Linked DNA regions of Schizosaccharomyces pombe. Changing the gene in region 1 together with any one later gene gives a genetic interaction. Each region holds a gene or a part of one and is shown in the gene's direction. Other genes may lie near its edges. The genes, in order: SPOM_SPBP8B7.31 and ftm6.

What was found.
Region 2: mutations in SPOM_SPBP8B7.31 (region 1) and ftm6 together harm fitness less than expected from each alone (positive genetic interaction), as found in Schizosaccharomyces pombe (one large-scale study listed by BioGRID).

Annotation. Positions count from the first base shown.
Region 1 is NC_003423.3:3,696,354-3,700,061, forward strand, and holds SPOM_SPBP8B7.31 (acid phosphatase), read left to right. Parts: upstream 1-1,837; 5' UTR 1,838-1,979; coding exon 1,980-2,061; exon of another isoform or gene 2,062-2,119; coding exon 2,120-2,371; intron 2,372-2,440; exon of another isoform or gene 2,441-2,446; coding exon 2,447-2,566; exon of another isoform or gene 2,567-2,619; coding exon 2,620-2,684; 3' UTR 2,685-2,993; downstream 2,994-3,708. Other genes in the region: DNA-binding transcription factor Thi5, read right to left, coding at 1-1,341; G1 cyclin Puc1, read right to left, coding at 3,220-3,708.
Region 2 is NC_003423.3:8,571-11,959, forward strand, and holds ftm6 (transmembrane helix domain-containing protein), read left to right. Parts: upstream 1-1,998; coding exon 1,999-2,439; 3' UTR 2,440-2,781; downstream 2,782-3,389. Other genes in the region: ftm5 (transmembrane helix domain-containing protein), read left to right, coding at 1-444.

The DNA of each region.
Region 1 (3,708 bases):
ATTTCCAGTTAAAAAATGATATAGTGAAAGTAAAAAGACAGCTTGAATAGAAGAAAGGGTACAGCGATTTAATAAAGAGCTAATTAATTGCTCTGAAATCTGTATCATTGAATCAATATGACTAAGCTGAACTTCCTTGGGCAATACATTAATGTTGTTATTTGAGAAGTGACCAAGCACAACAATTAAAAGAGCAACAGCAAGAAATCCTGTATCCAACGTATCTGAGTTAACTAAACCATCTGCAAGGATTTGGTAACGGTTAGAAAAAACAGATGGAGGATAAAAGTAAAAAAAACTTTGATACCGGAGGAAAAACTCATTTGCATAACGTTCTGCGACAGAAACCGGTGGTAACAAATTATGTGCTATTTTCTTTAGAGCTTTTAATGAAAAAGATGAGTGATTGGAGGTCAAATTTATAATTGAATATTCATGAGTTCCTTGTGAAGAAGCTGAACCTACAGATACTGAAGTAGGGGTCGATTGAAGTGTGTTTAGTTCTAAAGGCAATAAAGAGGAAGAGAGATCCTCCGGAATTTTACTTTGATAGTCAATGAGCAGTGATTCTGGGGTATTGCTTGAATTTAACTGTAAGGATGCTAAAACAGAATTTAAAAAATAAGTGCTTGACGTCGGACTTAAATATATGGGTTCTCCTAGAGCATCTAAGAATGAACGTACAGGAAGTATGGGTTGGGAATTGATTATTAAATTATTGGCACTTCTAATAACCTTATCTTGGTTCACATGAATTGCATTAGCAGATATATTTTCAGTAAACTTGATGGAAGTATTAAGATCAGTGTTTTGAATAGATGAGAAATTTGAATCCGAAGAGGGGGGAGTAGATGAAGAAGGAAAAGAAACGTTTGCTGACTTGACAGCAGACGAATCGTCTTTATTGTTTGTAGCAGCAACCTTTAAAACAGATTGATCAATTGACCCGGGTATTAGCAAAGAACGAACGTCGCTTCCAGAAGCTAATGAAGATTCGACATGTTTGCATAGTTTGACTAAACTACGTGTGTCATGAGGAAGAGAAGGACACAGCAATTCCATCAGATATTCGAAGCATTTCTGCCTTTGACTCAGTTCCGCAATAAATTGTTTTGAGGGAGTACGCTCTTTTAAAGAATCAGCATACTTACATTGCGAAGGCGTAGCAATGCAAGCCTGACATGGTTCAGAACCACTGCATCGAATTTTCTTGGCCCGACAAGACAGACATGCCCGCCTTACTCTTCTTCTACTGTCCAAAGGAACACGCCTTCTTTGTTTATACTCTTCCTCTTTGGCTTCTAAAAACAAAGAACGACTAGAAAAGTCAGAGGGACACATAAACTTCGCATAATAACAATTGCTACATTTAAGATTTTCATATAGGTAAATCAATTTCGCTGTCGGTCACAGGTACCCGAAGGTGGTAAGTAGCAATGCTACTTCAATTTTAAATAGTATGCATCAGCAAAATTAAATTTGCTAGTAAGCTCTGTCAAGTCCCCAGGTTAATATAAATGTATTAAATGCAGTAAAAAAATTTATTGTTTAAATGAATATGTTAATGACAACGATTAATTGACTGTAATTTGGTAGTATACAGTTTTGATCAATTTTATAAAACATGGTATTTACACAGTGTTTTTTGGTATCAGTTTATTTGTTTATTGAGAATATCAAAGACAGTTAAATTAAATAATAATAATTCATAAAAGTTAATGAAATTCAAACATTTGTTTCCTAAGTTTTTTTCATTACTAATGCAAAAAAAGTTGAATATATATATTTTTCTTTAAAAAAAATTGGATTACATCAACGTACCAACTAAAATTGTGTCAATCTTATCGAACTAGCAAACTGGCAGTAAACTTCTTGAAAGCGTTACGGTCAATCTTTTGAACTTGAAATCACTCTTAAAAAGACTTTCATTCTTGTTGTTTACGAACCTAATAACCAATACCATAAAATATCAAGCAAATATGGTAAAAAATATCGAATTCCCAAAATGCGTTGTTTTTGACTTAGACTACACTCTGTGGCCTCTTTGGATAGATACCCATGGTATTAAATCTTTTACTTTGATCTACTTTATGTTTTATTTTCTAACAAAGTTTCACAGTCACTGCACCATTTAAGCCTTCCAAAAATGACCCAGGCGTTTTGATTGACAAATATGGCACAGAGATTTGTTTTTACTCAGATATAACTGGAATTTTACAAGAGCTAAGGAACCAAAAAGTTACTTTGTGCGTTGCTAGCCGTACTTGTGCTCCCAAGTATGCGAAACAAGCATTGAATTTGATGAAGGTACCAATAGATGGAAGTCTTAAGCCGGCTATCGAATTTTTCACTTATGTAAAAGCTTGGCCAGGTATGTCTTTTAATACATTTTTGTCAATACAGAAAATATCAATAATCATATTGCTAACTAGTTATTGTGAAATAGGTAGTAAAATGGATCACTTCAAAGAGATCCACAACGAATCTGGAATTGACTATCGAGAAATGGTGTTTTTTGATGATGAGTCTAGGAACAGAGAGGTTGAAAGACTTGGTGTTACATTCTGTTTAGTTCCTGATGGCCTTAATCGTGCGTCCTTTGAGCAAGGTATAAACAAGTGGAGAAAATTAAAAAAAACTCACTAAATATTCTTTCATTTCTAAAAAATCATATGCATGGTTAATTTTTCTTTTGAAAGAAAAGTTAATCAATTTTGCTTGCATCTTAAGAAAACAACTATCGTGCTTTAACTTATATTTAGAAGTCTCTATTCGAATTGAGATGTATTTTGTTTAATCACAGTATCATTGTTAAAATTGGGAAACACTGATACTACTTTTAATGGGTGAAGAATCAAATTTAGAAATTAAATCTATTAAAGACCTAAATTGCTTCAATCTGTAATATGGGGTTTCTTATGAACTTTCTCTTTTCTTTTTGCAAACTAAGTAAGTATCATATAAATAAATAACAAAAATATATACAAACGGTATAATGTCATATGAGCATAGTTGCAAACCGGTTTAGGAAAACAAAGAACATAACAGAGTAGTTTAATTGATTAATATAATGAATTTTATAAAAATTCTTAAAAAAAATTACATCACTATACACTTACTTTTCTCAAGTAAATATATAATTTTGAAATTATATCTCCATTACATGTTTGTCTAGAAGCATTGCAATATATATAAATCGAAGAAGAAGCAATGTTAAAGTTACAAAGTACGCTCAGTATCCTTTTCAGTCATGTTGCACCAGGCAGCCATTGCGCATTGTTCCGGATATTTCTTTGCTAAAATACTAGAAATACGGCCTAGTGAGGAAAACAGTAAATCAGTACATTCCTCATTAGCATACCTCTTTGACATGTTTTCCATATATGATGTTACGGTATCCAAGTCTTCAGGCCACAAAAAGTTATCATCTTTGCGATAGGATTCCATAGAAGGGTGTGTCAAAAGAAACGATCCGACATGTTCGTTTACGATGTTCATAACTGAACATGCGATTTTGGAAGCGGGAAATTTGAATAAATTAGGTACAAACATTGATGCATCAAGTACTAAGAAAAAAATCGGGTCTAAAACAGGAATATACGAAGCTGGTGTAGGGATTGAGATATCCCAATCAAGAGTATCAAGTATGTGGCGTTCCATACGAATAAATAAATCCTCAGCATAGATGTTTTTACAAGCTAACTTCAG
Region 2 (3,389 bases), 3.7 Mb from region 1:
AAATATCTTATGATAAAAGGAATTAGTATTGTCATTGCTTTATGTTCTGTATACTGGATTTCTTTATATAAAGACGTATATGTAGTATCAGAGATTTTTGACATGATCCAGTATGAGGTATCTCCTGCAATTTGGGTGTATTCTATTTGTCATTTATTGAAACAATGCACGTCTGTAACAACTTACGAAAATGCTTCAAAAGCCAGATTTTTTAGAAGAATGCTAAATGCATTTATCTTTATATTCTGTGCATCTCCAATGTTGCATTACCTGTCGAATATTATATTTGGAAACTTTGATTACAGACTGTCGGTGATCATTGGTGATCTTTTCACTTTTATGGAGAAAATTGCTTTTCCATGTTACATAATGTTTCCCACCCATAATGAAGCACTTGCCTACAATCGAAATGTAGCTGAAGAGGCTCAAGAGAAAATGATTTGACAAAAACCATGGTTTACTTGATTCACCTTTAAAGGGGTTACCGGGATTATTTTATTTATTATTTGTTTATCAATGGATTAATATCCAGTTATTTTAATCTCACTTTTTTACACAGAAATTGTGTAGTAAGTTCATTCTTATTTAATATACCACCTATTTATTTTTTACAAATGAATATTTTTTTACTGGAACGTTTTAAATACACATAACCTTTGAGTCGATGTGAAATAATGTTTTGTTCAAACTTAAAAGTTGCGAATCTGACATATAGACAAAAAAAAAATAAAAAGAAAAAACTGGTTACCTTCATAAACATATTTTGCTAATTTATTGAATTTAATTATTTTCAACTTGCTTTCCCATTTTCCCAACAATTTTTTTATCTATAATATATATTTTACAAAATTAATATAGTACATCGCATGGTTTTCTTTAAAACGACATAAACGTATAATAATAAACGGGGATTCAAAGTAATAAATCGAATCCAAATCAACTTTCAAATACATCCATTTCATCTACTTTACCCTTATATTCCCCTTCATATCCCCAACAAAAAACAGGAATTTGCGAAAGTAGTAAATGGTAAAAGTGAATAAATAGAATCAAGGTTAAAAGCTTACTTGTATGCATAAGAAGATAACTCCCTCCTCTTTACTTTTGCTTAAAAACAGATTCTGAGATTCGGGACTAGCATCGGTAATATAAGTTTTTCTTTCATACTGTTGAGTACTAGCATCAGAACCCTTAATGGTAGGAAGATCATCATCATGACTACGCCTTTGTTCAATCGAGTAAACATTTGCTGGTTCGTGCCAGTCACACTGAGAACAACAAAGTACCTATTATTAAAAATGTTAGCAAGCGATCGCTAACAAGTTGAAAAGTAAACACCTCCAACTATTCCATGGAAAGCATGTAACAATGAAGATCAATGAATGGCTATTAGCTTAACAAACTTGTAAACTCAAAACAGACTAACAACGTTTGTCAGGCACTAAGAGCAATAATGGAACAGACTTCATATCAAACGCTTTCTTGAATGTTCTTACCTTATTCGTATAAACCGGAAGAACAGGCACAATGAGAACCGTTACGGTTTTCAACTGACGACATACTCGGACTAAAAACAAAATGTTATGTTAACATTAATAAGACAAGTTTAAAAAAAAAAAGAAAGAGCCAATTGCTTTCGAAACTACTCAACTTGTTTATTTCTCGTACCAGTCTTCTTTGAACTAAAAAAAAAAAAAAAGCATTAGCAAAATGTGTTGTCAAACGGATAAAAAGAGAACAGGAAGAAGATTGCTGGAAACAATTTTAAAACAGCGAATAAAAAAAAAAGAAAAAATAATAATAATAATAAACAAAATACGAGTCGCTAATTTTTGAAACTAATCGCTTCCAACAACTGTTTCATTATAACTTCACCATTTTAATATTGTCCCCAAACAGCATGATTTAATTCTCTTTCACTAATTTCATACCACACAGGACACGTAAGTAAAACATCCTTATAATCGTCAGTGGATATCCACATATCTCGTAAATGTAATGGCATTGTTAAAAAAAATAAACACTCAAGTGAATAGAATTATGAAGAATTCGAGTCTAGTTCAAAATATTTGTTTTGACAGAGTCCCTCTATTTATACCAAGACTAAGCCTCACAGTGAAATATTGTCTAGCAGTAAAATTGCTGATTTATTTATTATATTGTTGGTACATTTACTCGGAAGTACCATCGGCTTCATCTAAATTCCGATCCTTTACATTTGGATGCGTCGTAGTATATCATAACAAATTTTTTCCTCGTTTCATTAGAACTCACTCCATTAACTCCATTAGAACGTTTTCTAAATTTCAAGTCATTATACTTTTCTCTATTGAGAAAGTCACTAGGTCAGAAAGCAAGAATCATTCTTACTCGAAAACCGATATTAGTGATCTGCACCAGGGCTATAATAATCCACCATCAAGATTCATATCACAATAACAATTCCATAGTATCTTGCTATATACGTGTAATGAGTATTCGATACTGGCTTGATTGCTATTTCTCCTTTGCTTGTAATCGTAAAATTGACTTGAAGATCTAAACCTTCTAATGCAATCATTGGAATTCTGCCTAACCTGATCAAATATGGCTTGATCACCGTTAAGTTAAAAGCAGAAGCTATGCCAATCAGTATGATTGTAACTTACAAAAAAATATAGCACAACGACATACAACATTATGGTACAATAAAGAAGACTTGATATATCAAGAACGAGGTTCAGTTTGTGCTCCGTTTATATTATTGTATTTCTATATATGACATTACTTGATGCAACCGCTTAAATATGTACTTTTGTGTAGTTATACTCGCAAGTACAGTAGCATTTTTAAAGTAGCGGTGATGTTGACGAATGGTTTGTTTCAAATCCATCCATTTCAATTTCAATTGTAAATTTCTCTTTTTCAATTATTAATCAAGTAAGTTGAAGTGTATCAGCACAATAAATTCTGACTATTACTACTCTTAAAATAAAACTCAAGCGAAACTAATTTTTAATAGCAAGTCATATTCTTAGTTTGATATGCTATCCGCTTTGGTTTTGCATTGTTATGACTTTGTATAACCTAATAAGGTGACGAAAAATCAGTTCGTTTATATTTTTGATGAGAAGAATTCACTATTATTACACAGAAAAACATTTACTTCTTATTAGATACCTTCAATATAATATATTTTTTAAATGTAATAGCGACGACACTACCCATAATTTACAATACATTGTATGGTAAACAACTGAGTAGTTGATACACCCGATTTTCATTGAGTCATACACTTTGCGCTTACTATCACTTTATTTGATTAAATGCATAATTTACAAGCCATTCCAATATTTCGCGCACTTTTCGGACATAGTAATAAAAGCCGAGGTAGTTTCGGCGACTTGCAA